Lytechinus pictus: one gene and its partner. The protein of the gene in region 2 purifies or fractionates together with the protein of the main gene of each other region. This does not show direct contact. Links are inferred from orthologs where the notes say so. Each region holds a gene or a part of one and is shown on either strand. Other genes may lie near its edges.

Region 1 (17,203 bases), about 430 kb from region 2:
GTAAACTCTCGCATATCAGCACGCGACTGTGTATAAAACATATGGGGGAAATGAGAGAGGGGAGGAGTTTGGAGAGGGCTCAAGGGTGGCACATGGGAATAATTCTATGTTTTATTACCAAAAAACCTCTGAAATATATTCATCTCAAATTCAAGGGGAAAAAATTGAAGAAAAAAAAATCTAAAATGTAAAAATCGTCTATTCCTTCACCCCTTCTCTCATATGTTTTGTACACAACCATCTCGCGATAAGCAAAGGTTAAAAAAGGTCGTTACTTACTCAACGCTGTAGGGCGCTCTTCCAGAGCATTTCATTACGCGGTCTATGTACTGTCCAATCTTCCCCTTGTAGTATCTTTGATTTGGGTAAACATTTAATACATTGTACTTTATTACAGTAACTTGTATTTGACACTGCTTAACCCTATATAGTCCAGGCTAGTATGAAATTGCATAGCCCCGCAGGGTGACAAGATTTGGACAGTTGGAAAAACAGGATACTTCGAGGTCTTATGTATAGGAATTAAAATGTAACCTCCCCAATCCAGAGGCTGCTGCCTCTATTTTTAAGTGAGATTACAGATAAAGGTTTGAATTGTCCTAAAATAATTAACAAATATATGAATATTTGCAATAAAAAATAGATCACTTTATCCATCCATGCTTTACTTCTTTACAATCTCCTCATCTTGTTTACAAATAATCTCCTTTTCAGTCGCATACAGTGGGTCACGTCAGTTGGGGGGGTAAGTCACTTATGAGTGCGCTCAATCGCAAGATTGGTATTTAGTAACACATTACACTTTTCAATTTTTTTAATTTTTGCAAAATAAAGTAGAACCAATTACATGTACCCCAAACCCCGGCTAATTCAATAAAATTCTGTTATATCAGACTTAGTGATCACTTTACATGAAATGCAAAGAGTGCAGATACATGTACAAATAAAGTTAAGAGATGCAGAAACTTTATATTGAATTCTTTTGAATCCATTTGATTTGTCATTTTCTGCACCAGATAGGACAAGCACACGGCATTATTCTTAAACAAGTGGAGCGCCTTTGGCAGTCTCACCTGCATTACGCCATTCAATATAGCAGCAGTGCTGACATTGAAAACTACTATAAAATAATTATTCACAAAAAACACCATTCATATAATGATACAATACTAAGTTCATTGACCCTAAATGACATTTGACCTTGATCATGTGACCTAAGACTTGTCAGTGATACTTGATTACCCCAATTTCTACAATTCATAAACTATATCCATAAACTTTGAAAGTTAATATTAATATTAATAATTACTTCTAACATGGCCAAAGTTCATTGACCTTAATGACCTTTAGCCTTGGTCATGTGACCTGAAACTCGCACAGGATGTTCATTGATACTTGATTACTCTTATGTCCAAGTTTTATGAATCAGATCCATAAACTTTCAAAGTTATGATGGTAATTAAACAAATACCCACAACTTTGCAAAAGTTCATTGACCCTAAATGACCTTTGACCTTGGTCATGTGACTTGAAACTCAGACAGGATATTCAGTATTATCATTTAGATGTAGGGTTTTAGAGGCGCAGATATTTTTTGATGTCTTGCGAGGTTGTTTCAAAGAGACAAAATATTAAAACTGATTTTTAACGTGCATGCCTATAAAAACCATCCAATATTGAAAATATTGGACGAAATGAATATTTTGCCCTGCCCACAAGATTATCATTGGTTAATAAATGAATGTGCGCATGAAGCTATTGTTACGTCACAATGAAATTGCATTGCGTATTAGTTGCCAGGAAGTGTGGTAAAGGAGCGTTTATTTATTGAATTCAAATGCGCTTGCACTATACGCTAGCGCATCTTTACTTTACTACAGAGATTTCTTTTTTTTTAATGACAATACTCAGGCGCCATGCTCATGATATTGGCCAAGTTTCATGAACTTTACAGGATTGCCATAAATGATGATGGTTACTAAAAACTTTTTTTTTTTGCTTCATTACTTTATGTTTAGCTTTGTGGGGGTATCTAAATAATAATACTAATATTGGATGACCAATTTTCGTGGGATGCGTAGAAATATTGTTACTCGCTGAAGAACAATATTCGATTCGTCTTCGACTCATCCAATATTGTTCTTCAGCTCGTACAATATTTCTTCGCATCCCACTCAAGGCCATCCAATATTCACTAAATATTTGATTACCTTTGTGGCCAAGTTTCATGAACTAGTTTCATATACTGTCTAAGTTATGATGACATTTCAAACACCAAACATTAGGTTAAGATTTTGATATTGACTCCCCAACATGGTCTAAGTTCATTGACCCTTAATGACCTTTGACCTTGGTCATGTGACCTGAAACTCAGGCAGGATGTTCAGTAATATTTGATTAACCTTATGTCTAAGTTTCATGAACTAGGTCCATACTTTTCTAAATTATGCTGTCATTTCAAAAACTTAACCTTCGGTTAAGATTTGATGCTGATGCTGTCGCCGTCGGAAAAGCGGCGCCTATAGTCTCACTCTGCTATGCAGGTGAGACAAAAAATAGCTTGTAATCATATCCTCTGGAATTGGCTTTGAGAAAAATCCATCATATCTTTCAATATGTTAAAAGCAAATTGGCTACTAACACTATGTGGCTGAAAGGTGAAAATTTTCACAACTTTTGGTGCATATATGAGTGACAAGGCTTAGAAAGTGACCCTTCATTCAAACAAAGCTTAAAAACATTTAAGAATTCATAAAGTCATACCTGCCAAGTACCAACACTGACCCCCTCCCCCTCAAAACAAATACAGAAACAAATAAACAAAACAACAACAATAATAATAACAATAATAATAGAAAAAATCTAAAATCCCAATTTTCAGCACAATTCCAAAATATATCATTAAAATATGCAAGAGTATTTAAAGAATGAACACATCTGGAAGGTGTTACATGAGAGTTATAAGCAGCTCTGACAATTTGGTTTTATCCTTGGATTTGATTGGCTGAGAAGAACTGGTCTGTAGATTAGTTAACTGTCAGTGCTGGTAACTTTCACCCACTGCATTGAGTATTGACAACAGGTAAATTAACAAAATATTTACCATGAAAGATACACAAACAGCAAATGTAATAATCTAGAAATGAGAGAATTCATGTTGACTGGATATTGACAAAAATATGATCGAGGGGCAAAACATTGATGATAAAAAAAATATAATATAGTCACATCGTTAAACCTAACTGAGGAGAGACGGCTGACAAGTTTCCTGATACCAGCCTTCATTATCTTCTAAGGATCTTCTTTACTTCTTTGTCTGTTTTACCCAGTTTGTCATCTACTCTCTCTACCTTGCCTGTTATCCTGTCAATATCAGCATTCTGTCTCTCCAGTTCATCATTCAATCCCATGGCAAGTCCCTTTAGGCGACCAATACCTGAGCCAATTTCATCTAGTTGATAGGGAGAAGAAGAAGATAAATATAAGAATGATTGTAATTTGCTACCTAAATCATCTACAATCAAATGAGCAGGATAAATGTATTTCAACAGGGCAAAAACCTTAAAATATTGCATTGATAGTTATATGCATGGTAACTACAAAATATATATATAAAGAATATAACATGCAATCTGAACAAAATATGCAAATTACACTTTGCATCAATCCATCGTGTAGTTTACATTTCATGTATTCTTAAGGAATTCCTCAGATGACAGGAAAATAAATCTAAACACAATTTCTATGCTGTTTAATCAATATAACAATAAAAATTACCTCTATTTTGACTCTACTCTTTTTCAAATTTCTCTCTTGCCATAAATTCTATACTTTCAAATCAAATTTCTAGCATTAATAATAATGATAATAACAATAGCTGGATTTATAAATCGCTTTTTGCCAGAGGGTACAGAGCGCTGCTATATTACACTGGCTTTAGCAGTGCTACCCATATAGGCAATCAAACATTCATCAAGGTATTTATTCCTAATGGGGGTATATTTCATTAAATGCAGTTAAGAAATATTCAATCTTCATGAGTCTACATGTATAAGTAAATTGAATTGTTTCTTGTCCAAGTTGTTAGAAAATGGAACTGTAACAATTTCTAGCCATGTTAATAAGGATTTTTAATTCAATAGGTATGATTAATATTATGAATACTCAGTTTCAATGAATATGGATTTCAAAAGTCATTTTCAATTCATCATTCAAGGAGTTCTACTGCAAAGACAAATCAAAACTCATCACTCATTTCCTGAATGAAATGGGTGAAGGAAGGGATGGAGGAAACACTATCTACAGACATTAGAAAACTGTAGACTACCTTAGTGTAAGCCAATGAAGGAAACAAATCATACAACTAGATTACTACACCACTAATTGGTATTGATGTAGAAGAAGAGTGTTCCACTTTCCCTTTGTTAACAAATCAGAAAAAAAAAATTGAGAATTATCAGCAATCAGAAAGTATCATTATCCTCAAAGGAAACAAGACAATGCAAAATTTTCATTAAAAAGATTAATTTAATTTAATTAATTTTCATGAAACATGAGGCATTAGGAAGTTCTGGTTAACCTTTGGTAATCTTATTTCCATGTGTTCTATTGCGATTTATATGCATATTTTAAGATAAGAAAAAACGGTGACTGATTGTGTATCATTTATAATCCCAATTTCCAAGTTTCCTCCTAATATTCCAGAGACAAAAGGCACATGTGTAGAGATCATGTATCTCTCAATGTTATTGAAGTAATTATATTTATGTGTGGAAGTTTGCGGACCAAGCAGGCCTGGGACCAAGTAATATTTCATATCATAAAAATTGTCTTTTTCTCAATTTAGCCAACAAAACCAAGGTCTGGAAAACTGTTTCTTTGTATTATGATCTGATGACCCTTGGTAGTCGCAACTATCACATCACCTATATGTTCTGATTAAGACTAGAGATAATCTCTAGGCAGCAAATCTCCTTTGATCAAAGAATCACGTTGAATGTCTATCTAAAATAGATCCATGATTCAACTTAAGATCTCCTCCAAGAAATTCTGATTTCAGGGAATCCAGCCTTTGCCATAAAATGTTGTGTTGGGAAGGAGAAAAATAAATTAAACAGAATGGTGAAAGTTTGAAAGAAATCGGACAAGCAATAAGAAAGTTATAGCTGCTTTAAAATTAAGATCACTAATAGTATGTAGATTTCAAATTGGCAACTGGGTAAGTAAATTATGACAAGGGGCAAGGACAACTTTCCCATAGGCCATGTACTTTATTATCAGGGATTTGTGGTTTTCTCCTAAGTACCCATTCCCCTGGGGCAGTAATCTAAATATAACCCAGGTAGTATATTGTTTAATGTCCTCATGAAAGAAAAATATAATTTGAAATAAAACTTTTGGGAAAAATGACATTTTAGCCATAATATGTATTGGAGTACATGGAAGAGTAGTCCTTGCCTTACATCACTATGACATCCCATATGCGGCCAATTTGAAGTCTCCATGAGTATAGTGATTACCAATATTTACAACTTTTAAAAATTCATAACTTTCTTGTTGTTTGTCCAATATTGTTCAAACTTTCACCTATAAACTTGTCTGATTTTTCTTTTTCTTATAAAAACAAGTTTTTATTTGGGTTGGATTCCCCTTTAAAAGAAAATATTTTTCATAATAATGAACAAATATAAACTTTCAGCAAATCTAAATTCATCTGATCTGACCTACTTTTCAGAATGGAATTAATCATGTGGCAATGTTGCTGATTTAGCAGAGTTGTAAATTGTTTGTTGGGGGAAATGTCAATAATCTAGTTTTTGCTTCCATGACGCACAACAGATTAAAGAACATAGAAAATATATCCATGACATAGCACAACCAAAACTTGGTGAATCACAATGGCAGTTTCATCTTGGAGTCAGGACAAACGACAAATTTGCAATTTTTTGTCAGCTCTAGAACTTAGGACTAAACTTCTGTTCCGGTTCATCAATATTCAACAAAGACCTCCCAGCTGTTCTTTGTCATTGACAGGCACTTTCAATATATTTACTGTGTTCTTGAATCTGTCCCTATTGCAGTTGCAAAAAATACCTTATACAGAGACAATGCTGGTTTGCTCTCGATAAAATAAGATTGTGTATTTAATCTGAACAAGTGGTATGCCTCTGGCAAATCTAGTCTAGATCCGTGTATGTGCTGTGCCATGGACTAGAAATGGCCTGGTGGTAGAGACATGCCTACCAATCAATAGAAAACAAATTCATATCTGTCTGGTTCCAAGATTTTTTTTTTCTGACTTATTTTCTAGAACAAACATGATATCTTATTATACATGTATTACCTGGTGGGCGTTTCATAAGGCTGTTTGTAAGATAAGAGCAACTTTAAGAACGACTGGTGATCCTTTCTATTGGTAAATGGTATACACCATTGGTGATTATTCAGCGCGTAAGAAAGGCTCACCAGTCTTTCTTAATAAAGTTGCTCTTAACCTACATGTACGAACAGCTTTATGAAACGGCCCCCAGGTCTCTTTCTTTTATTCTCTATCTCATTACTTCTCCAATTTTGTGCTTTGTAGAAAAGTCATATGTAGTCCATTTCATTTTCAGTTTGTCACTACAATATATAGCTTACCTAGATTAGAATTGAGATGATTATCAAAGTCCCTCATACTATGTGACTGCAACACGTTACTGCTAGACATTCCACCATCATTCTCCCCTCCAAATCCTCCTGTACAAGATGAGCCCCAAGAACCTGCACTGGGCTCCGAAGCACCCACCCCTCTGAGCTTCAGAGCAGGATGATCAGAGTTAGCTCTTCTCATCTCTTCCTCTGCTTCCACCCTCTCCATGTGTGTCTTAAGGTTGCTAGAACCGTGTGACGGGGCTTGCTGCTCCTGCTGGCCAGCTTTGGGTTTGTTGAAGTAGTTTACAATGCCTCCAAATATTGATTTCATTGATGTGATATGTTTCTTAGATGTATCAAGGTCTTTGTCCATCTTGTCCAGTTTGGTGTCCACTCTCTTGAGTTGTTCACCTTGGTGTAAAAGTTCCTGCATAGGTTTTTTTTTTTAATATGAAAATATACATAATTTGTGATTACAAAGTAGAATTTTTCCCTACTTCAATTTCCTCTAATTTGGGATATCATCAAACATACAATCAATAAATTATTTTCATTTCATAAGGACCATTTTTTTTTTCATATTGGGGTGATTGCTGAATTCTGGGGCTTTTTTTTAATTTCAAGGTGCTACTTTCTTGCACAGTAGGCAATTATATGGTTATTCTGCCATATTGAATATACTGATTTTCTACATATTTTTCAATATTGTTTGTGGCAGATCTTAGGGCAACTTGAGAGAAGAGCGTCATCCCAAAGTTTTTGATTTGAAGAATTTTAGGAGGCAAGTTGGGCAAAATTACCCATCACAATATGTTTTTCCTACACTGATTCAAACACAGGAAATCATCTAACCTTCTTTTTCTTTTATATATATATATATATATACAGTGCGTCCCACAAAAAACGAAGCCGAGATTTATTGGTGATTTATCATATCTTAATCACAAATACAATAGACAAATGACCTACAATTGTAAAGCTTACAATCTCCCCTTATCTGAAATTACTTAGATTATTTCTCATTCACGCATGAGTGAGCAAAAACAATTTGAAGAGGGGATACCAAAGTCATTTGGCAGACTGTATCTGGGTTTCAAAAAGAAAACCACATTTTTAAAAAGTTTAATATCTGCTCTTTAATTTGATACCTCAATTACAGAAAATGTTCAGGAAATAACAAAGTTCTGGTTATTTGAAATAAGGCTTGAATTTCAATAATTTCATAAAATGAAGAGGTTCTACAGGCTAGCGTTCAAACTCACTTCTTGACACTCCGTTTTGTTGACGATCAGCCATGCATTAAGCATGTTAAGTCTTTTGTTAACCATGCGATAGCTTCTGTGGGAAACCGATGAAAACACGTTTATTTAATGAAATTATGGAAATACAAGCATTGTTTCGAGGGAACATAACTTTTTTTACTTCTCGACCATTTTGTCTGATTAAGGTATCAAATACAAGAGCACATATTGAACTTTTTAGGCATGTGATTTTCTTTTTGAAATTCAGATACCCCCCGCCAAATGAGTTTTTTGCATCCTTTCTTCAAATTGTTTTTGCTCACTCATGCGTGAATGAGGAATAATCTAAGTAAAATCAGATGAAAGAGGAGATTCTAAGCTTTACATTGGTAGGTCATTTGTTGATTGTATTTGTGATTAAGTTGTGATAAATCATCGCTTAATCTCGCTTTGGTTTTTTCTGGGACGCACTGTATATATATATGCAGGCTCGCACTAACACACTACCGTCAGTGAATGGGGATGATAGTAAAATGTCAGAAATTGTTAAATCCCCAGAAATGATTGTTATTCCTGTCTAACCATAGTCCTACCTGTAGAATCCCACAGGCAGGATGGTTGCAGTGAGCAAGTGAGTTAAGAGTGACTGAAAGGAGAATGAAACCCTTGAAACTAGCTGAATCCATATCAAAGAGAAAAATCAAAGAAACATATTGTTGAAAGTTTGAGGAAGATTGAATAAATGATAAGAAAGTTATGAGCATTTGAATATTGAGATCACTAGTGCCATGTAGATCCTCCCATCGGCAATGCGACCAAGATCTGTGATATCACACACGTACAACTCCCTCATTACTTTAGTACTTATTTCACTTATATTCTCACTTTTATAGAGTCTATCACAAGGTTATGTGTTTTCTTTATGAGATGACAAGTACAGAGGTTTCACAACATTATATCATTGATGAATCGTTTGTCATATGATTAGAATGAGCAAAAAGATATGTTTTGGGGTATATTTTCAGTGTCCGAATGGGAGAGTTGTACGTGCGTGACATCACAGATCTTGGTCGCATTGCCAATGGGAGGATCTACATAGCATTAGTGATCTCGACATTCAAATGCTCATAACTCTTTTATTGCTAGTCCTATTTTACTCAAAGTTTTGTTGATCTTATTCTTTGATTTTTCTGCTTTCACAAAAGCTAACTTGCTCCAAGAGTTTCATTCTCCTTTAAGTCTTTAGTTAGGAATGACTGGTGAACCTTCTTCTTAGTATCTTACATTAAATAATCATCAATCATTAACATGATCAAATAAATGGTGAATATCATTTACCACAAGGATCACCAGTAATCATGGTCATGCCAGTTGTTGAAGTCACTCTAACTTTTAAACATAGTGAACAGCTTTATGAAACAGGGGCCCGTTTCTCAACACCGTCATAAGTCTAACTTCTTGACTAAATCGGAGATAGTGAGCTACTTGTCCGCTAACCGTTTCACGAAGCCCTCTTTACCAAGATCGGGTACAACAACCTCACTAAATATTTATGACACCTCCGAACCTGTCTTAACTTCTTTCTTAATGACGTAGTGGCATCACGTGGGTAGACTATGACATGCGAAAGTGCCTAGAAATTTTAAAATTATAATCTTACATAATCAATCATAGAGATTGAAATTACATCACAAAACAAGTGGGTTAATGCATTCAATGATAATTGTAATACAAAGAAACTATAAAAACTGTTGGTAAACGCCACAAAACCATTAATTTTGAAATAGTAAAATGATTTAATCGATAAAGATTCTAGTTCTACCACGTCAGGCCATCCATAACAGAACTCGTATTTGTTGTTTTCAGACCCCTATTAACAGTTGGATGAATTCTATCTCTAATTTATGCATATAATTTGTCCAATATCGTATCTTTCGGTATCAATTATTAACAAGTGGAATGCCTCTGGCCGTCTCACCTGCATCACGCGATTCAATATAGCAGCAGTGCTGATTTTGAAAACTACTATAACTCGCACAAGATGTTCAGTGATACTTGGTTACTCTTATTTCCACGTTTTATGAACTAGACCAATACACTTATAGAGATATGATGGCAATTCAACAAATACCCCCAACGTGGCCAAAGTTCTTTGACCTTACATGACCTTTGACCTTGATCATGTGACCTGAAACTCGCACAGGATGTTCAGTGATACTTGATTACTCTTATGTCCAAGTTTTATGAACTAGACCAACACACTTTCAAATTTATGGCTGTAATTCAACAAATACCCCAATTTGGCCAAAGTTCATTGACCCTAAATGACCTTTGACCTTGATCATGTGACCTGAAACTTGCACAGGATGTTCAGTAATACTTGATTACTATTATGTCCAAGTTTCATGAATCAGATCCATAAACTTTTAAGGTTATGATGGTAATTCAACAGATACCCCCAATTCGGCCAAAGTTCATTGACCCTAAATGACCTTTGACCTTGGTCATGTGACGTGAAACTCATGCAAGATGTTCAGTGATACTTGATTGACCTTATGTATAAGTTTCATGAACTAGGTCCATATATTTTCTAAGTTATGATGACATTTCAAAAACTTAACCTTAGGTTAAGATTTTGATGTTGATTCCCCCAACATGGTCTAAGTTCATTGCCCCTAAATGACCTTTGACCTTGGTCATGTGACATGAAACTCAGGCAGGATGTTCAGTAATACTTGATTAACCTTATGGCCAAGTTTCATGAACTAGGTCCATATACTTTCTAAGTTATGCTGTCATTTCAAAAACTTAACCTCAGGTTAAGATTTGGTGTTGACGCCGCCGCCGCCGCCGTCGCCGCCGCCGTCGCCGTCGGAAAAGCGGCGCCTATAGTCTCACTCTGCTATGCAGGTGAGACAAAAATGTTTCGTTAACTATATTTTGATGACGTTTGGAATCGTAATGGTCCGTATAATTATCATCATTTTACAAAGAAAACCGTTATGGTTTACTTTCGTAAACTATTAAAATTGGGTCTCCCGGGGGTACCCATCTCAACGTCCACAAGTGATTTTTTAGTCATGAAATGAATTATTTTCTCTGAAATTGAATGCTCCAGTCTTCATGGTCTAAGTATGTATGATGCATAATTCACCTGTGCTATTATTTTGAAAAGATTTATTTCCCAATTCATCATAATATTTGCAATTTTGTAATAATTTTTCTTTTTGAAAATTATGCTATTTTGTGACTAAGGCTACGTCTCGTCTGCTCTTTTTACCGATAGTATCGATATCAAGGTATTCTAGTTAGGAAGCCTTTCGAGAAACAGGTTTAGTAAGATTGGAACTAACTCCGTGGTTGGTGGATAAAGATATGACTAACTTGTCCATGTGTTGAGAAACGGGCCCCAGGGCCCCAAGACCAGCTGCCCCGGGGGGGCCACTTACATTGACGAGTGGATACCATGCGCGACCAAAAAAACACGTAAAAAGGATGTCTTTTTCACGATAGGGCACGTTACGTACGTAACGTGATAAGGGTGTCAAAAACACAAAAATAATGAAAAAAGGGTGTAAGATTTAGAAAGTGTATTTTTTCTTTGAAATATTTAACATGACGTCAGAGACGTTATTGGGTCGTAGTATCATTTATCTGGGTCGATAGAGGGCGTTGGAAATTTGCCTTGCCAAGATCGACAAAGATTTAAAGTTCAGCCCGTCGTGACTTTACAGTAGAATTCAAGATAATCGGTACAAGTCCAATGTTGTAAGTAAAAGGACCTTTATATTTCCGTAATGTAATGTTTAACTGAATATATGGAACCAAAATTAACTCGAGACGATAATTAATTTGTTGTTAATTTAGCTCATAACTTTGGTGAAAGTGTTTGGAGTTAACGTATAGAATACAGGTGTGATAAACGTATATTGACATTGTACATTAATAGGTAATTGGACATGCACATGAAGAGTGTTGCGTAATAGCATATTGGTACGGTACTGTGTGGTAATCTCGCACACAGTGCATAGTAGGCTATTCATGTTCAGAGTTGTAAACGAAATGGAATGTCAAATAAACAAATGTTGTTCTTTGTTAGCTACATTTGGCTCTAGTTGTTGAAAAGGATACAGTATATGTATGAGTTTGGAAATAAGGCATTAAAGCCAGTTTTTGGTGCATTTTAAAGCCCTGATAATTACAAATAACACATACAGTGAAGGTGAAATGAAAGCCTAGTTATTTGGTTTGAGTAAAGTTATTGCTAGTCAATAATGCCCCAGAGTATATAGTTTAGAGGCAAGGTAATATTTAAGTATCGTAGTTGATATAAAGGACAAATGAGACAAAGTAAAGGTTTTGTTTATTTAACCGCATATAGCAAAGTTTATTCAAGGTCATTTGAATACATTGACAGAATTTGACAGGTAAATTTGTTACAGGAAACCAGAATATTTATTTATGCAAGATTCAAACGTCACAAATAATTTGTGCAATACATAGACTATTTATTTATCTCATGCAAGTACATAAATGTAACTGCATATACAGATGCTTATTATTGTTTGTTTATATTTTTATGCTACAGATTGAACATGCTCGATGGTATGCTCGATGGTATGCTAGATGGTATGCCCAGATTGTATATTTGATGCATCGTATGATAACTGGAAATTCCGCGTCACCGAGTCTTTTGTTTGAGTACTGTCTACTGTCAAGTCACTAGTAGTTATACGTCACATAAAGTTCAATAACATTGTCACCGTAAGAACAGTCGTCACCGTCACCATCAAGAACAGTCGCCATGAGTGGATCATCTGAAAGTATCAAGTCCGAGGACTCGGCCAGCCAAGGTGGTAAGAGTTCAACAGCGTCATCAAGGATAAAGACGAAGGCCAAGAAGGCAGCCCTGGCAGCAGAGCTAGCATCCTTGAGGGAACAGCATGAGTTAGAGCTTCAAGAATTTCATCTACAGCAAAAGAAGGCACAGTTTATGTTAGAAACTAAGCTCAAAGTTGCAGCAGCAGAAGAGGCTGTATATGAACAATTTGATCAGCATCCCAGTCAACTCGACATTAAGATAGAACCCACAAGTGAAGAACTTGGTCAACAGCAGCAGCCCATTCAGCCACAGATTCAGGCCAGCGAGCATGGCAACAATGTACGTCAGGAGAATTTGGAAGACACAATGCCATACCCGCAGCACAACCAAGATTTGTATCAGTATCAGCAAATACAGCATCGTTTGTTGGAAGCAATAAGCCTGTCAAATGTGGAAATCATGAAGTTTAACGGTAACCCTTTACACTATCATGAGTTCATGGCATGTTTTGATAATTTGATAGGCTCGTCTACACTAGACAGAGGGACAAAGCTCATGAAGTTGTATCAGTGCTGTGAAGGGGATGTAAAGAACATCATACAGTGTTGTATGGTAATGGATCCAGTGCTAGGATATCAACGCGCCAGAGAATTACTGAGAGAACGCTTTGGCAGTAGATTTAAGATAGGAGAAGCATGGATTGAACAGATAACTAATGGTTCAGCACTTCATGCAAATGATAGAACTGGACTACGCAAGTTTGCTGACGAATTACAGGTATGTCTTGAGACTCTTAAGGCATTGAATCTGACAAAGGAAATCAGCAGTAACAGAGAGCTGGTCAAACTGGCAGAAAGACTACCATTTCATCTCAAAGCTAGATGGTTGAAAGTAGTGAGAGACATTAGGCAAAGAGGTCGATCTCCAGATATCACTGACATGGTGAAGTTTGTATCTGATGCCGCCGAAGAAGTTAACGATCCAGTCTTCGGTGAGCTGACTGCGACTTCTCCAAGATCAGCATCTAAACCAAGCTTCAACAAGCAACATTCAAAGAGCAGCTACTCTACAGCAGTCACTGATAATTCAAGCTTTCCTAAGCCCAAGAAGTGCTTCAAGTGTTATCAAGACCATACCTTGTTTGGTTGTGACAGCTTTAAGTCCATGACACCTGATGAGAGATTTAAATTTGCACAAGAGAACAGACTATGTTTCAATTGCTTGCAACACGGTCACACCAGCAGAATTTGTAAGTTGAACCGAACATGCTCAGTACCAGGATGTCAGAGAAAACATACAAAGTTTCTCCACTTATTTCGGGAAAGCTTGTCACCTGAAAGAGGTACTCCGCATCAAGAGATAGAGAATCAGCCTCAACCAAATAAACACTTGAGATCTTCTTCCACTCAAACGCCACTTGATGAAATCCAAACAGCTCAGAATAGCTTCATTGATAAATCGGTCACAGGGACCGGTAGGTGTGTACTTCCCATCGTTCCAGTTACGGTAAGGGCTCACAACGAGAGCAAGTCTGTTGAAACTTATGCTCTCCTAGACACTGGTTCTACCAGCACGTTTTGTACAGCAGCCCTATCCAGACAACTTAATGCAGTGGAAAGGAAGCAAAGTCTAAATCTATCAACACTTGGAAGATCTAACAGCACAGTAGATACATCAGTTGTTAGCCTCATAGTAGACACAGGCAAAGATACAGAGATAGTGAAGTTACCATGTGTATATACAAGAGAGTCAATCAACGTCAAAGAATCTCACATTGCCAAGATGGAAGACATCAGAGGATGCAACCACCTAGAAGGAATCAACATTCCTATCGTCACACAACATGAAGTTGGACTTTTGATCGGACAAGATGTGCCTGGAGCATTGATACCTATAGAAATTAGAGCATCCGAGGATGGACCTTATGCTGTAAGAACCAAATTAGGATGGGCAGTAAGTGGTCCTGTCCAGCCCAAGATGCCAGAAGACATACACACAGCTACTACAAGCTTTGTTGGTAGCGACATCAAACTGGAGGATGGCAGACTTCAGAGATTCAGGAAGAATGAAAGCTCAGAAGTTCTTCAGAAGGACAAGGTTTCGTCCGTCAATGTTAGTAATGCGTCAGCTTTCCGGGAGAGTAGTGGTAAAAAGGATGGAGTTCACAACCTATCGCCAACGTCATTTGAGAAGAAAACGCCAAAACTACCAGACGACATTTTGACTGCAGAACAGCGTTTGCAGTCGTCACCCAAGAGATTACTGATAGATGATACACTTCAGAAGAAACACCAAGTGGACGTAGAACATATGCTAAGTAACTACTCTATAATGAAAGTTAATAAGACAGAACAATTAGAAGATATAACCTCATTGTACTTACCTCACCATTTAGTCATAAGTCCACAAGTTATTAGTGATTGTGTGGCAAAGCATAATGAAGAAGCATTACCTGACAAGGTTCCACAGGGGCCGGACCTGGCCAATCTGCCCAGAGTGTCACCTGGTAAACCTTTATTTGGCTACATGTATTTTGGAGTTGACAGTTTCACACCGTACATTGTAAAACAAAGAAATTCAGAAAAGGGATACGGTTGAATCTGTACACGTACATGTTTGGTCATAAAAATTATCTGATACATATGTATTTTGTTAGAGAAAATATTTGAATTTAAGGCACTACAAAGATATATTTCTCATTGTGGTGAAAGTGTAAAAATGTAGCAGTGAGATCCAAAAAGGACCAGTATAGAAATCGTATTTTTGGAAATAGCAGAAAGTTTAAAATTAGTGAGCGAGGTAAAATAGCAGTGTCTAAGCTCCCTCCTCCCTGGTCTAAGTGCATTTAACAAGCAATTTGTGCGGAATATGGATTTGATAAAAGGATAAGGAGTAAATTCATATCTGAGATTTATTTGTCAAATTTGTTTAAAATTGTCTTTATATTGAATTTGCTCTTATAGAACAATACAAGAAGATTAGTGTGGTACCAGGTCGATTGAAAATTGATAATTTGATAGCACAGCAAAGCAGGAATTGCTAATCAAGGAAAAGGAATTTGCATCAGTTATCAAGAATTGTTTTGAAATGCTCAAAGGAATGTTCAAAAATTTGAAACCAATCATTCTCATTGTTTCGAGATGAATGACTGTTAGAGTGGAGGACATTTTCAAGCAGTTTATCACGACGACATTCAGCCAAGCAGCAAATCATTCTTAAAGAATGGAAAGTTTAGAAACATTCAAGACTTAAAACAAGACTATAATGAATCATGAGTTACAACATGAACAGTTTGAAATTGACGAAAACATGAAGAACTTTGAATTTCAAGATGATGGACATAATAAGTTCCGAAATTCATTAAAACGTTTATTAAATTGTGGATTGAAGAAAGACTATATAAAAGGGATATTTCAACTTGATAAGAGACTAGTTAATCTAGTAAATGTATCTCATCCTCAGGTTTCTTTTTGTGTATTTTGTGATCTAAAAGGCATATTTGATGATCACAGTTGATAAAGTATGTTATTCAAACAAGACTATTCTTACAAAGGTGCCAGATTTGATGCAGAGAGTTTGATATTGTCATTGCTGATTAAGAGGAGACAAAAAACATGTTCACTTTTGAGTTTAAACACCGACTCAATTCAAGTGTTTTTGCAAGAAAAGAATAGTTGGAAATATTCAAAGAGTTGTAAGGATTGAAGATACATAACGTTAGATTTATACTTTGTGTATATACTGTATGCTCAGCTAGAATTTGAATTTAATCTGTGAAGACCCAGAAAATGATATGATATTGTGTAATAGGGAACACAATGTTTGTAAAAATAATAGGACATAGATGTTAATTTATGTTTTAAAGGGACAATGTCTTATAGATGATTGCAAGAAAAAAGCAATTCATTATTTTCTTGAGCATAACTGAATGTCTCTAGGTCACAAGCATTTAAAGTTTATATCAAATTATTTTCTAGACTGCCATATTGGAAAGGGTTGTCGATTTCAATTGTTGTCAAAGCCAATTATGTGTACTAAAGCAAATAGTGCATGTTATTATTTATATACAGGTACATGCAATTTAAAGGTATTTGGAGTTCAGTGTATTCTTGTTTACCAGTCAGTTCAAATCTTCTTCTTCTTCTTATGTTGATTTGAGTGGCGATTAGTCATATTTGACTATTGTCGCCATTGACTCTATTAATAAAAAATCTCACTTCTCACATAATGATATTATTACCAATATGATGTATACATATATGAAATATTATTCTTGTGTATCCTTTTAATATGAAAAAGGATAATTATGGTATGTACAAAAGTTTGTCGTAACTCTTGTCAAAATGGCATATAAACAAATCTTCACCAAAAACAAACCGCTATCTTCAGCTCAGTTCCAACTAGTTGCGCTTGCCCTGCCCTTTCAAAGATGCAATCATACCGGTCAGCACGGTACATTGTGCCGATTTTTCGGACATAAATGCCTAGGTCACCCATGCATAGACGA
Region 2 (17,468 bases):
CTACACATTCACTGTATTATCAGAGCCACATTATGCACATTTAAAATTGCTTTGGAAAAGCTAGGATTTGCAATTTTTTCTTCTAAAATCTTGACCAAAACTGGTAGTAAATGAGAAGTAAGAATTGATATGGCAGCAATCTAAGAGTGTAGCTTTAATTGGAGCGGTTCAGTGAAGCATTGAATTTGGTTTCTCTGGACTCCATTCTCATTAGGACACAGTGATGTATGACAGTAGGGCTCCTAGCTGTCAAGTGTCTGATATCTGATATGGTGATAGAGAGATTGATAGGTGAACAGATTGTGATATTAGTGAGAAATAAGGGCTTCTTCATGAAGAAATGGTAAGATAAAGGGATACAAAAAATAAAAACAGTAAATGGATTGTATGAAAGTGAAGAGATATCCAAAGAAAAGATACAAAATATAGAATGGATGGATAGATGTTTATATAGCAGGGCAAAGACCAGTACTGCTGAGACGACTATACTACATTAACCATTGGGAGATTCTATCGCTCAGTGTAAAGAGAGCAAATGGGAAGTTATTAATCATCAGAGTGGCCAATCATCGCTTGAGAGATGATTCTGATACCCTGAGAAAGGGACGTAGGGAGGAGGCCAAACTGGGAGGAAGGGAGAGAGAAGATGGAAAACATTGTTGTTATAGAAGACTGAGAAAAGGTGTACATGGAGGAGGAGTGAGAAATAATGCCTAAGCTTCACAATATTTGCTTTCAGTATTAAATCCAAGAATAACTTGCTTTATTTTAAGCTTCTTGTAATATCAAATAAGGTGAGCGTAATGATAAATAAACATTTTTGACAGATGAAATAAGTTTATAGTGGTTTTGGTGTATGAAAGAAAATGTGAAGGATAGATATATTTAAACAGATTGTGATGTATTATTTTTCTAAAGCTGATTTTAATGATACTATGGAAGTCTGATTCATAGCAGTCAGAAACCACATGACCCTCTAGCATGACATTTGAGTGGAAGAAATGATGGAATTCTCGAATAAAATATATAATTACAATAACAGTAAGGCTTTGAGTTTCTAAAGAAATTCAATAAATAACACTGACAAGTAAAGCAGTAAAAGAAAAACATAACAGAAATTGTCAGAATGCTAACATGTCTGACAATAGAGCATTATACAAGTTATGTTCATTATCATTATTTTCAATATTAATATTCAGTGAATTTAAGAAAACTCATATATATATATATATACATACATACAGACACAAAGAAAAGCTGTAAAATTGTGTACAATTTCCAAGTTCATGGGTAACAAATATAGTAGGATAAAGAGATTAATGCGCAGCAAGGTCAAGAATGGAAGTTATTCGACTAAAAATACATTAGAGTATTGAAGCATTATAATCTCAACAGAAAAATTAAACAACTGATCATTATTCGTTTTCAATACAAAAAATGATTAAAAACTTGTTTTAAACAATGTGCAGACATAAGTTTATAACAAAACATTGAAAAAATGCTATAGAATTCCAAAATAAATTGAAACGAATGAAAAGAATTGCTACACACAGTAAATTACCAATGCCATTGTCAATACTAGAGCCTATAGGCCTAAGTACTTGTAAAATTAGTATAGGTTGAATGTATGTAAAAAGCAGCAAGTTATTTAGGTTATTCAGAGCTAAAATACTATTATAATTCACAGAATATACAGAGTGAAAATCATGAACCAGATTTGTATTTTGCTTCCCATATACACTACATCACAGGAATTCAATAAACTCTCTTATAAAACTCATTCTTTCTGATTGAAATGCCATCTTAATATTATCCATGAAAAGTAGATTACTCCAATATATTTTTTCCTCTAGCATTGATGATATATCAAGGCCCCAAATATTCTTCATAACGATGCCTACGAGTCATGCATAGGACATGCCTATGCCAACTAAATTGGCTTGGCATAAAATTCCTTATCAAATTTGCAAAAGGCTGTATTTATAATGTATACGGATAGTCTACATATGCACATCCCCTTGTGTTCATTTCAATCATGGCTCACTCAATGTAATTGTATCTCAAAACTCACTCCATCCTACAGGACGCCGGGTCTAAATAAGATTGAAAAATGCTCAATGCTCAATGCAAGTACACGCAGTTTCTCCCGTTTTGGCCACGAATCAAGCCCGATTATTGATCCTTAAATGTGAGAGAAGCGGTATTGATTGGGTTTGGGAAATGATGAAGAGAGAGTTTTGAATTACAGTATGAAATGGTAGAGACTACTCGTGGAGGATAGGTCGCTGGTTTTGACATTATGATGGAGATGGAGGCAACTGGGATGGTGTCAGTGCCGTGGCATTGAGATGAAGAAGCTCTCATCCAGACTACATCACAATGCATGCATGGGTATATGTAAAGCAAACATGTCCCCATCTTTTCAATAAAGGTCTTATGGGGGCCAGTGAAAAAATTAAAAGATTTTCAGTATAGGGGCTATTTTCCAAATTTAGGATCCTTCTAAACTACATTTTGTAATGAACACCATGACTCTTATGAAACTTATTTTAAACTTATTTGCAAATATTATGCACATACATTAGCCCATATACATTTTCACCGTTACATATAGAATATTCTGCACAAGACAATGTGTAAAAACTCTTCTTTGTTAGAATATAAGCAATATTTTGCCTTACAAACCAGTTTTGTTTTTAGTATCCCAAATTTAAAATTGAGAAAGCAAATCCCTATGATCAATTACATGTACAGTTGTACCATCTATTTATACTATTTATAAATATTCCTGTTGTTATTTTTGGTCCCTTTTTTAAAACAAGTGGAATGCCTCTGGCCGTCTCACCTGCATCACGCGATTCAATATAGCAGCAGTGCTGATTTTGAAAACTACTATAACTCGCACAAGATGTTCAGTGATACTTGGTTACTCTTATTTCCACGTTTTATGAACTAGACCAATACACTTATAGAGATATGATGGCAATTCAACAAATACCCCCAACGTGGCCAACGTTCTTTGACCTTACATGACCTTTGACCTTGATCATGTGACCTGAAACTCGCACAGGATGTTCAGTGATACTTGATTACTATTATGTCCAAGTTTTATGAACTAGACCAACACACTTTCAAATTTATGGCTGTAATTCAACAAATACCCCAATTTGGCCAAAGTTCATTGACCCTAAATGACCTTTGACCTTGATCATGTGACCTGAAACTTGCACAGGATGTTCAGTAATACTTGATTACTATTATGTCCAAGTTTCATGAATCAGATCCATAAACTTTCAAAGTTATGATGGTAATTCAACAGATACCCCCAATTCGGCCAAAGTTCATTGACCCTAAATGACCTTTGACCTTGGTCATGTGATGTGAAACTCATGCAGGATGTTCAGTGATACTTGATTAACCTTATGTATAAGTTTCATGAACTAGGTCCATATATTTTCTAAGTTATGATGACATTTCAAAAACTTAACCTTAGGTTAAGATTTTGATGTTGATTCCCCCAACATGGTCTAAGTTCATTGACCCTAAATGACCTTTGACCTTGGTCATGTGACATGAAACTCAGGCAGGATGTTCAGTAATACTTGATTAACCTTATGGCCAAGTTTCATGAACTAGGTCCATATACTTTCTAAGTTATGCTGTCATTTCAAAAACTTAACCTCAGGTTAAGATTTGGTGTTGACGCCGTCGCCGTCGCCGCCGCCGTCGGAAAAGCGGCGCCTATAGTCTCACTCTGCTATGCAGGTGAGACAATAAAAACCTTATTCTCCACAGAACAAGGTATGTTTGGCACTAGTTTGGAATACTCGTAAACAGATGAACCTGCACATTTGACCAACTGTTCATTATAAAAAAAGCATGTTGATGTTTATTTTTCATAGTACGTATTTCGCTTTGTGAGAAAAATTATTATTAATCTTAGTTACTTGAAATATAAAAGAGATTTGAATTGATTTGACAGTTGATTTATTTAGAATATATGCCATTTATTACTTTATGTTCTATTAAAATGACTACCTACATGTATCATGCTTTTTTTTAAATAAAGTTGTTGGATTTTACAATCATGAGGGACTACATAATTGCAAATCTATCTATGTCTTTGCAAAACATGTATGAAGCAAGTGTGTATTAATTAAAAGTTACAAACATTATTTGTAAAGCAGCAATTAGATACACATCATCACAGATTTTAGATGAAATGTGTGCTATATAAAAGCAGAATTATCATTTCATGCTTGGAATCACATCATGGAAAAGTAAGTTTACTTTTAATACAATTATTTATTATTATTCACATACCATTTTACATACAGGTGTATCTGTATTTCTTCCATTAAATGATTGCTTTTTGAAGACTTATTGTTCGCAATTCATCAACTCTTGAAATGAATTGTGATATTAATTTTTCAAACTCTCAAAAATATGGTAAGATCTGAATAGTCTTGGGGGGGGGGGGGGGTCATTATCGCAATCCGCAAACTCTTTGTGTAAAAGACCTATGTACATGTATTATGCAGTTTAGAGCATTTTTCACCTATACCCTCCCGCCCTTCCCATCCTCCTCTATTCAAAATGCTGCTTTATTACCAAGGCACTACTTGTATTACCCAGCCACTACCGAGTTCACAGAGTTTTCAGGACACACAAAGTCACACATAAATTTACATGAAGCAATAGCTTGCCATGCTCTGTCTTATGGGTTTAGGAAGTGTCATCATCATCACCAATGATAGGGACATCTTAGGTTTAGAAAACTCTCTTGGGTTTCATTCTTATTGTCGGATTAAAAACTAGACCTTGTCAGGTAGTGATATGCATCAATAGTGGACAATTGTTTTGTAAAAGATTAAAGCATATTAGAATGAAATAACAAAAAAGTTTAAAAGTTTATGCACTTGACCAGAAGAACCTGACAATAATTATATGATGAAATACGTTTCCTATATAAAACAATGCATGAAAAACTACCAAACAGTGTATTTTCAGATGCTTATTTGTGATGATTTTTTTAATTCTCAATTGCACCATTTATCAGAACATTGGACCCCCTAACCCCTGACCAAAAATGGAATATTGTGAGCAGAGGGCACTTACAACTGACTGAACCTTAATCTCTATGTATCTGGATGCATACATGTACTGTATGTCTCTTACAAATATATGTGAGGAGCTGTAGCAGGTATTCCCTGCTGCATGCATGAAAAAAAAAGATGTAGGGGCTATTATATGCCTAATAAAGATAAAACATTAACAACAAAAACAGAAGTGATGGACCCCAATTTTTTTCAATCTGTCACAGCACATATTCTTTCGAGGAGGTGGTGCTGTGACCTTTGTCTTCTGAACTAGTGATGCCAAAATCTAATAATCCTCACTCTACATTGTACACACATATTGCCAAATACATGTATAGTGACCTTTAATATTGATACCCCTAACTAATCAGATCTTCATACTTCATCCCTCCTATACTTACATGTAAAACAATTGTTTGGTCAGCAAGAGAATGGAAAAGGGAAGGACAGATAACCCTAACACATAATGACCAATAGCAACCACCCTGTGAAAGTAAATATCCTAAAATTGTAATTCAAATTTCACATGAAAAAAGTAACATTCCATGCATCACTCTAATAATGTATGCAGGAAGTAGCTTTCATCAGAAAAAGTAAACATAAATATGGATTTCATACATATTCATAGGAATGGAAATCCCATTAGTTGTTCACGTGAGTGGATTGCACGGGACCTGAATGTAAGTTCAAGACTCGAGTATATATTTTATATTTCTACACCAATTTCGCTTTAAAAAATGTTGCCCGTGTCTGTAATTTATAATATAATATCGATACAGTGAATGGAGTAACTTTCATTCTAGCTGACAGAGCAGTTAAGTGCCACCTCTCCCACTACTAAAAATAAAAGCTCTTTTTGTATTAAATAACATTTGATTTCATTGTCAGTACTATTGAATGTCTTTCAAATTCCAGTTCATGGTAAGTTACACACGTAACTATTGAAATTGTAAAAACAATCTCCTTGTTTTTGCATTACACACAAAGAGACAGTAAATGGTTTCTTCATTTGAAATACGTTACGATGAAAGGGATGACCGATGTTAGAACATGAGAGTTCATGAAAAGGTTAGTGATGTTTACTTACTCTTTAATTTTGCTCTGACTTTGTTTGCTGTTTTCTTGATGTCACTCATCAACTCCTCCAATTCATCTTTGACTTCTGCAAATGGAAAATAAAATAAGGAAAAAAATAATTAAATATGCCTCTAAGTTGTGAAGTTTTTTTCTGGGATGAGGGCACTAAGAAATAGAGGAAGGGGGTGGAGTGATGAGGAGGAAAAATTATGGTGGTGTAGGTGATTTGATAAATGATGATGATGATTTCAATGATGATAAAAAGTGATGATGGTCGTAGTGATGGTGAGCATTGTGGTAATGGTAGTGGTGGTGATTATGATAATGATCAGTTTCATATTGGTGGTGGTGGTAATGTTGATTACATGTACGACTAAACAACACCAGAACAATGACAAATTATCTCCTTTAAAGAGAGGGAAAAGGGAAAGGCGGAGGGGAAGATGCAACCTACTGCTAATCTTCTTTTACAGCTCATCCACAAATTGTGAAAATTTGTAAGAATTTCTTTTTATTACAAATACAACTATCAATCCACCCCCCCCAAAAAAAAAAGACTACAAACAAAACACTTGCTTTCAATTAATACTGATTTCTTGTTTCAAAGGCTATATCATTACATATATGTTTTACAAAAAATACACCATCTCTTAATTTGTACATACTAGTTTCACATCAGCAGTAGATATCATAATACCAATTCACACAGAGTAAAATTGGAAAAAGTTTCAATTACACTAGATAAATCATCTGTGAAGGGAACACTTGTGTACTTAAAAAAAAATTTAACCATAGGGCCTGCACATATTATATACTGTATATATCAAAGGTTGAGTCAGAACCTGTTCAGAAAGTCCATCTCTTAATCAGAGACTACATGTATATGTACTTTCTGTTTTGTTTTGGCAACCGAATGTAGAAAACTACAGGTCCTATGGATGTACTGTTCATACTTGTAATTTATTTCTGTACTAATGTGAAGTTTCCTTCCTTGATTATGAGGGCCTATGGTTTGCTGGTAATATGTAATCAGTTCATCCAACAATGTACCGAATGCAATAGAACAAATTATTTCAAGGAATGTTTATCAGGTACCTTTACTGTATGAATGCTACTATGAGGCGCCGAATGTACCAATATTATATAGAACAATTATTTGTTATATAATCATTATTTATTAAATAATAACTATTATTTATATATAATTTACATTTTATTTGTAAATAACTACTATTATATAAAATATCATTTCTAATTATTTATATATAATTCCAAGTAATACTTCATTATTTGTAAATAATAATAGTTCGACATTCCATTATTTATAAATAATGATTATTTGTTTTTCATTATTTGTAAATAATGATTATTTGTTTTTCATTATTTATAAATAATGATTATTTGTTTTTCATTATTTATAAATAATGATTATTTGTTTTTCATTATTTATAAATAATGATTATTTGTTTTTCATTATTTATAAATAATGATTATTTGTTTTTCATTATTTACAAATAATGATTATTTGTTTTTCATTATTTATAAATAATGATTATTTGTTTTTCATTATTTATAAATAATTTGTTGAGTTTTCCATTATTTATAAATAATGATTATTTGTTAAATAATGAAAACGTCTACTTCATTATTTATAAATAATTTTTTCGAGTGCACCATTATTCTCATTATTTATAAATAATCATTATTTAATGTTCGAGTTTTCCATTATTTATAAATAATCATTATTTATATACAAATAACCATTATTTATTAAATAATGCCATTATTTATTAAATAATGCCATTATTTATTAAATAATGGAAAACTCGCTATAACATGCAAATGTGGGACCGCCCATGATATGAATATTCATGATGCGATTTCCTTTTTCGTGATTTTTCTTCACAAATTTTTGTCCATTTCCTCTTCATAATGACATTTCTTGAAGCAATTTTCTAGGGATATGGTCTGATTGTAATATTCTTCATTTTCTATATAACTTCGTCTTCGTAGAAATATCAAAAAGTGTAATTTTATACGATTTTTCCTACAGTTCACAATCCCCATAGGCGCGCGTGTACGGTAGGGACAACCGGTGAATCGACGGAGTGCTCTTCATCGAAATACTACGTTGGTTGGTCCCCGGAAGTGGCGGGCGGAATTTAGCCCGAATCCTCGATGGAAGTCGATCAAGTGCATATGAGCTGAGAGAGTGAAATATCAGTGTACTTGTACAGGCCCTTCTACTTTTTATAAATATTTCTTGTTGCTTTTTTTGTTAAGTTAATTTTTCCTGGTGTAGAAATAAGTTTCAGTTCTAATAATGCACTTCAAATACATTTTGGAGTGTCTGTTTGAGGCGTTTGGGGCGATTTCACCCTGGCCCCAAAATGCTCGCAACGACAATACGGGGGCATGATGACCCCTTAATTTTTAAAAACTTATTTTTCTATTGAAAATTATCACAAAATTCACCAAAAGTGTGCACGAAAGCCTTCGTATTTCACTTTTAAAACTCCGAAAAGTGCCCAAATGACAAGCTTGGTCGCTTCGCTGTGTCGCTTTCAACTTGAGAACGTTTACGCGTCTGCTCCCCCCCCCCCCCCTCCTCCGAAAGAAATTCTGTATACGGCCATGCTCTAAAGAGCCTGGCACATTGATTTATGTATACTTTCATTTTCATTATTTTTATCTCATTATCAACATGGCCTTACGCAGAATTTTTTCCAGGGGGGCCGGGGCCGGAGCATGACGCGCGTAAACTTTCTCAAAAAAATCTTGAAAGCGAGACAGCCACGGGACCAAGCCCAAATGACAAGCTTTGTCGCTTCGCTGTCTCGCTTTCAACTTGAGAACGTTTACACGCGTCTGCCCCCACCCCCCGAAAGAAATTCTGTGAACAGCCATGCTCAAAAGAGCATATGGCACATTGATTTATATGTACTTTTCATTTTCATTATTTTTATCACATTATCATCATGGCCTTACACAGAATTTTTACCGGGGGGGGGGGGGGGGGGGCAGCTAGGACGCGCGTAAAGTTTCTCAAAAAATCTTGAAAGCGAGACAGCGACGCGACCAAGCTCAAATGACAAGCTTGGTCGCTTCGCTTTCTCAAGATTTTTATGAGAAAGTTTACGCGCGTCCTGCTCCCCCCACCCCCCCCCGGAAAAAATTCTGCGTAAGGCCATGATGATAATGAGATAAAAATAATGAAAATGAAGTATACATAAATCAATGTGCCAGGCTCTTTAGAGCATGGCTGTTCACAGAATTTCTTTCGGAGGAGGGGGGGGGGGGGGGGGGGAAGCAGACGCGTAAACGTTCTCAAGTTGAAAGCGACACAGCGAAGCGACCAAGCTTGTCATTTGGGCACTTTTTGGAGTTTTAAAAGTGAAATACGAAGGCTTTCGTGCACACTTTTGGTGAATTTTGTGATAATTTTCAATAGAAAAATAAGTTTTTAAAAAATTAGGGGTCATCATGCCCCCGTATTGTCGTTGCGAGCATTTTGGGGCCAGGGTGAAATCGCCCCAAACGCCTCAAACAGACACTCCAAAATGTATTTGAAGTGCATTATTAGAACTGAAACTTATTTCTACACCAGGAAAAATTAACTTAACAAAAAAAGCAACAAGAAATATTTATAAAAAGTAGAAGGGCCTGTACAAGTACACTGATATTTCACTCTCTCAGCTCATATGCACTTGATCGACTTCCATCGAGGATTCGGGCTAAATTCCGCCCGCCACTTCCGGGGACCAACCAACGTAGTATTTCGATGAAGAGCACTCCGTCGATTCACCGGTTGTCCCTACCGTACACGCGCGCCTATGGGGATTGTGAACTGTAGGAAAAATCGTATAAAATTACACTTTTTGATATTTCTACGAAGACGAAGTTATATAGAAAATGAAGAATATTACAATCAGACCATATCCCTAGAAAATTGCTTCAAGAAATGTCATTATGAAGAGGAAATGGACAAAAATTTGTGAAGAAAAATCACGAAAAAGGAAATCGCATCATGAATATTCATATCATGGGCGGTCCCACATTTGCATGTTATAGCGAGTTTTCCATTATTTAATAAATAATGGCATTATTTAATAAATAATGGCATTATTTAATAAATAATGGTTATTTGTATATAAATAATGATTATTTATAAATAATGGAAAACTCGAACATTAAATAATGATTATTTATAAATAATGAGAATAATGGTGCACTCGAAAAAATTATTTATAAATAATGAAGTAGACGTTTTCATTATTTAACAAATAATCATTATTTATAAATAATGGAAAACTCAACAAATTATTTATAAATAATGAAAAACAAATAATCATTATTTATAAATAATGAAAAACAAATAATCATTATTTGTAAATAATGAAAAACAAATAATCATTATTTTATAAATAATGAAAAACAAATAATCATTATTTATAAATAATGAAAAACAAATAATCATTATTTATAAATAATGAAAAACAAATAATCATTATTTATAAATAATGAAAAACAAATAATCATTATTTATAAATAATGAAAAACAAATAATCATTATTTATAAATAATGGAATGTCGAACTATTATTATTTACAAATAATGAAGTATTACTTGGAATTATATATAAATAATTAGAAATGATATTTTATATAATAGTAGTTATTTACAAATAAAATGTAAATTATATATAAATAATAGTTATTATTTAATAAATAATGATTATATAACAAATAATTGTTCTATATAATATTGGTACATTCGGCGCCTCATACGCTACAGCATGTACATGTAAGGTTTACAAACATTGTATGATACGCTAGTAGAATGCTGTCATTACAAATACCAGCACACATGTATACAACAGAGAAGTATCTGTGCACACACATGTGAACGCTAGTATAAGAGCAATATCAAAACACATAAGTGAACGCTCCATCAGACAATATTGGCGCACATATGTGAACGATTCATTGAGCAATATTTGGTGTAATATAGAATCATGGATTTTATTGATACAGACTCGTGACATTTGATAGCGGAGCACTGCACATTGGATGGGTTTGATGGAGTAATAAAGACCTGCACAAACAATCTACCTTTAGCCTCTATGCCAGACTGCACTCTTATTCACTTCATACTCATTTGTAGACAAATGATGGCAATACTTTGTAACAACAAATTATTTTCAAATAATTATTCATTTTCCAGTTCAGTAACTCATTTTCATATTTTGCCATTTCACTGTGACATTAACTGGCTAATTTTGCACTTGTACTTTGCCTCATCCATCTTTGAAAATTTATTGCACATCGAAACAAAGCAAATTCATGTCACAAATAATTGAAATAAGTACAAGTATAGGTGTATGTCAAAATATTGGATAATAGAATAAACATTACTACACTAAATAGCTGCATGTAATCACATCAACCTTTCCCCTATGGAAATTTAGGACATGTCGAAGATTGCTTTTCACTTTTGTATCAAACACTTTTATGGTAGGCTACCAATTTGCAATGAGCCCAATATCATGCGCCTATGAGTGTACGAGGTTTATGAGTTAATCATACATGTTAATGATGAGGTAATCATGAGAGAATGGATGATCTAGACTTTAAAACATTAGCTCAATCTTCCTGGGGTAAACATTTATTTCCTCTAACCTTTATGCAGCACGATACAGGTATATGGAGAAAGAATACTGACCGGCAATATATTCAGATTTTACAATGAATACATTGAAACATCCCTTATGTGCACAGCCTTGGAGATAAGCTGCTGAAATTATTCATTAATAAATATACCGGTATTTGTATCATCATTTAAATCCTATTTGTTCATTCATATATTAAAAAATTAATGGATTTACCTATATATTAATGTATTTTATTTAATCATTGATTCATGTATTTGTTTTTATTTGATTTATTAATTTATTTAATCATTTATTTATTTTATTCTATTTTATCGATCAATTTTTTCAGTTTTTCTTTACTGATTCAGAAGTGTAACAAGTACATGTATCTTCTGAGAAAAGGAGTATTATATAAAGCTGGTAACAACTACCTATTAACATTTTTAAAGAGGAATGAGAAGAAAAAGTGCCTTTCTATCAAGTGACTATCTAATGAAGATGTGACTCCCATCACAGGCAGGAGGGTTACGGGCACTATCTATCAAGTGACTATCTAATGAAGATGTGACTCTTATTACAAGCAGGAGGGTTGGGGACCCTTTCTATCAAGTGACTATCTAATGAAGATGTGACTCCCATCACAGGCAGGAGGGTTACGGGCACTATCTATCAAGTGACTATCTAATGAAGATGTGACTCTTATTACAAGCAGGAGGGTTGGGACCCTATCTATCAAGTGGCTATCTAGTGAAGATGTGACTCTTATTACAAGCAGGAGGGTTGGGACCCTACCTATCAAGTGACCTTCTAACGAAGATGTGACTCTTATTACAAGCAGGAGGGTTGGGACCCTACCTATCAAGTGAATATCTAATGAAGATGTGACTCCCATCACAAGCAGGAGGGTTGGGGCCCCTATCTATCAAGTGACTATCCATGAAGATGTGACTCCCATCACAAGCAGGAGGGATGGGGGCCCTATCTATCAAGTGACTATCCATGGAGATGTGACTCCTTTCACAAGCAGGAGGGTTGGGGGCCCTATCTATCAAGTGACTATCTAATGATAGGGTGTCTGAAGCCACACTGAAAAGTGTCAGCATAAAACAGGCTGATTTTAGGGAAAATATGGCACATTTTTGGGGGAAATTCAGGCTGCTAGAAAAATGTGATCTGAATTGATTATTAACTTGTATATGGCATGTATGGAAAGAGAAAGTTCAGGGGCTTCTTTTGACAGTAAGGACAAGTTTATAGGATTATTTGAAATAAGGATTTAGAGATAAATTGCAAACCCTTATTTGTGTGTGTGTTGAGATTGCCATTTCCCCATGCGTTTTCTATGGGAAAATAACATTTCTGTTTTGCACAATTTTTTTCACTTTGTCGCAATTTTTCATTGTGATCTGGTTTCCAAATCTTTATAAAAATCATACCATCAGAAAGAGCATGAAAAATCATATTTGACTCTTTATGGAAAAGTTTTTGGCATTAATAACAAATTTATAACAGCTCTCGGAAGCTAAAAATTTGGATTTGTGTGTGTCCATTTCTTAACTACACAGTCTATGGCAGAGAAATGCTGAAAATTGACCTAATTTCATTCTTCTTTTTTGCAGCCAATAATTTGATTTTTTTTTTAATGTTACATTTCTGTCAGTCTGAAGGTCATTTCTCTTCAAATTCACAAAGAAAATGTGATATTTTCTTGAAATAAGAAAAATAATTTTTTTCTCCAGACACCCTACTAATGAAGATGTGACTCCCATTACAAGCAGGAGGGTTGGGGGCCCTATCTATCAAGTGACTATCTAATGAAGATGTGACTCCCATCACAAGCAGGAGGGTTATGGGCACTATCTATCAAGTGACTATCTAATGAAGATGTGACTCCCATCACAAGCAGGAGGGTTGGGGCCTTATCTATCAAGTGACTATCTAATGAAGATGTGACTCCCATCACAAGCAGGAGGGTTACGGGCACTATCTATCAAGTGACTATCTAATGAAGATGTGACTCCCATTACAAGCAGGAGGGTTGGGGGCCCTATCTATCAAGTGACTATCTAATGAAGATGTGACTCTTATTACAAGCAGGAGGGTTGGGGCCCTACCTATCAAGTGACTATCTAATGAAGATGTGACTCTTATTACAAGCAGGAGGGTTGGGCCCCTATCTATGAAGTGACTATCTAATGAAGATGTGACTCCCATTACAAGCAGGAGGGTTGGGGGCCCTATCTATCAAGTGACTATCTAATGAAGATGTGACTCTTATTACAAGCAGGAGGGTTGGGCCCCTATCTAACAAGTGACTATCTAATGAAGATGTGACTCCCATTACAAGCAGGAGGGTTGGGGCCCTACCAATCAAGTGACTATCTAATGAAGATGTGACTCTTATTACAAGCAGGAGGGTTGGGCCCCTATCTATCAAGTGACTATCTAATGAAGATTTGAATCCCATCACAAGCAGGAAGGTTGGGGCCCTATCTATCAAGTGACTATCTAATGAAGATGTGACTCCCATCACAAGCAGGAGGGTTACGGGCACTATCTATCAAGTGACTATCTAATGAAGATGTGACTCCCATTACAAGCAGGAGGGTTGGGGGCCCTATCTATCAAGTGACTATCTAATGAAGATGTGACTCCCATCACAAGCAGGAGGGTTGGGCCCTATCTATCAAGTGACCATCTATAAATGAAGGTGTGACTCCCATCACACGCAGGAGGTTGCAGGCTCTATCTATCAAGTGCTACATGACCACTCTGGAGGATGACCCACGTTACCAGCATAAGAATTGTGGGCCCTTTTTATCTAATGAAGATGTGAACCTTTTTTTTACATTTCAATATATATTCAATATATTAAAGCAATATTGCCATAATCTACAAAAAGTTGAATATATAAAGTGACGTTTGCAGGATTTGATTCACAATTTTATGAAGTTTTTTTTAGGCCTAAATGTTCATTGTATCCATGAATAGGAATGATTTCCTTGTATCTTGTTTACAGTGTCATGGAGTCATGTAGAATTTCATGAACATGGCTGATCATTGGTTATGTAGTAATGTTACCCTACTGCTGCTTGAAAATAAAAACCCTGAGATAAAAAAAAGCGGAAGTAGACATCCTGAGCTTGGAGCAGAGATGCACACCTCTCACTTCTTGCTGAGTATGTACGATCTCTTCTCATGATATTGGTGGGTGGCGTAGTACTAAAGGCTGACATGCAGACAGAATTATTCACACACACAAAACACACTCCATTTCATATGCACACAAGGCCCCCCTGACTACTTAGTCTCCATTAAAGACCCAGATTTCCCCTCTGTTTTTGTGCTTCCCCCACCCACACATGTACGCTATGAACCTGATCCTGTTTGTTTTGGCATAACCCATGGAGTTTGTTATTTTTTTATATACATTTTTTCCATCTGAGATCCCTTGCTATCTAGAAATTACAACCAATATTTTTCCAAGTTCATCTGAATCAGGATTTATGACACAAAATATATCCCTATTAAGACTCCATTTTTATTCTATGATTCTTACATTTAATTGTCATATTACTGTCATTTCTATAGTCAATTTTAAATATTATACCTACATGTATCAATGATCCACTCATTAAAGGGATGGTCCGGGCTGAAAGTATTTATAGCTTAATAAATAGAGTAGAATTCACTGAGCAAAATGCCGAAAATTTCATCAAAATCGGATAACAAATTACAAAGTTATTGAATTTTAAAGTTTAACAATATTTTGTAAAAACAGTTGTCATGAATATTCATTAGGTAGGCTGATGATGTCACACCCCCACTTGTTCTTTTGTATTTTATTATATGAAATTAAGTTTATTCAAATTTTTTCTCCAAGAACTAGACAAATTTGATTGACAACTGATATAGTGCATTAGATATTTATTGCTGCAACTTATTTCATTATAAGGGAGACATATTATTCACACAAGTATAAAATAATGAAAAAATTATGATTTTATGTAATAACATAAGAAAACGGAAAGTGGAGATGTGACATCATCAGCCCACCTAATGAATATTCATGATGGCTGTTTTCACAAAATATTGCTAAACTTTAAACTTCAATAACTTTAATATTTGTTATCCGATTTTGATGAAATTTTCGGCATTTTGCTCAGTGAATTCTACTCTATGTATTAAGATATAAATATTTTCAGCCCGGACCATCCCTTTAATTCTAATGAATGAATTCTATTCATCTTTTTTTTTCTCTAATATTTCTTCAAAGTAGCATACACAGGATTTTTAAAGGGAGGGGGATGGTCAAGCTGAATGAAAATAGTGACAACCTGCAGTTGGTTAACTTTTAATCAATTATTAGCTGAGGCACCAGATAACCAGTGGTTGTATAAACTTTTATACTACTTGTATAAAAAAATTGTGTGTGTATGGAATCTCAAAAAAAAAAATGTAACTGGAACTTTTTGTGATAATGAAAATATGCACATTAAATCATTGGATGCCTCCAGAGAAATAGTGCTTCTTTTTAATCATTGTTGCTTTACAGAAAGTCCAGAAGTGAATATACATGTGGGGTCTAGTGTGGAAGACTAGAGAGTAACATCTCTGCAAACCTTACATGCTAATGAATGAATTCACCCAATGGGATATTACCAGTCACACCACATCAGTAGTGCAGCATTTAACACAACCTACTTTAGCTACCCCATCCTATGACCTTTCCATAATACCCCATTTCACTTCCATTCTTTACAAAGAAAAAAAAACAAAAAGAAAACATATCACCAGAGCAATGGCTAATCTTAATGTTAATTTCCGCTCTACCTCATAAGAATTCCTATTTACCTAACACGTAAAATACAGGTAGGACTTATACAACATGAACATGAAACGTGGTTTGGCCTAGCCCATCAATACACCATGCTTCAATCATACTACTGGACAACTATCCCTTTTCTATTAAGCCATTTCAACTTTTCTTGTTAATGAAAATACACCTTCCACCCATAAACTATTAAAATCAAAGTTGGATCATAGCTTTTATGAGTGGGTGAGCTTGAACTTGAAAGCACACACTGTACCTTTTATACACATGAACGCTAAGAAAGAGCTTTACCCTTTAACACAAAACTTGATGATTAATCCTATTGAATACTGGTAATTGAATTGATTCTTTTTTTCCCTTTTTTTTTTAAACAAGTGCACACCAAGTTACCAATAATGCCTATAGCATTTCCATTTATTTGAAAGCAGGATGAAAGAGCATTGCACATTAAATGCCTTGCTCACAGGCATAGATGCCGCGGCCGGGGATCGAACCCTGGACTTTTTATGTATAGCCAGGCGCCTTAATAGACCACTCGGCCACATTCTTTCATGTATATTACCAATCACATAAATCCCCTGTATGATCAATTGCTACAGTTTGTGCAATATCTTGATGACAAATGCATTATGAATGATGAATCATACTTTGTACAGTTGAGACAGATCATCATTGTTGAACAAACACTGGTCAATACTATGAATTCAGATCTTTCAAAGATGTTCAGCTCCCCTTTTTTTATAACAATGTTCATGTACATGTATGAATGTACAACACAATAATAATGCATAGGGACTATAAAGGAAAA

Evidence for each region.
Region 1: the proteins of syntaxin-like (region 2) and synaptosomal-associated protein 29-like purify together in Drosophila melanogaster (affinity purification with mass spectrometry; 3 studies listed by BioGRID, with this or other methods). This does not show direct contact. The link is inferred for Lytechinus pictus from reciprocal best matches to the Drosophila melanogaster genes Syx1A and Snap29.

The regions. Positions count from the first base shown.
Region 1 is NC_087246.1:3,631,432-3,648,634, reverse strand, and holds the start of synaptosomal-associated protein 29-like, read right to left. Parts: upstream 7,071-17,203; 5' UTR 7,067-7,070; coding exon 6,640-7,066; intron 3,452-6,639; coding exon 3,285-3,451; 3' UTR 1-3,284.
Region 2 is NC_087246.1:4,060,825-4,078,292, forward strand, and holds the start of syntaxin-like, read right to left. Parts: upstream 6,266-17,468; 5' UTR 6,236-6,265; coding exon 6,187-6,235; intron 1-6,186.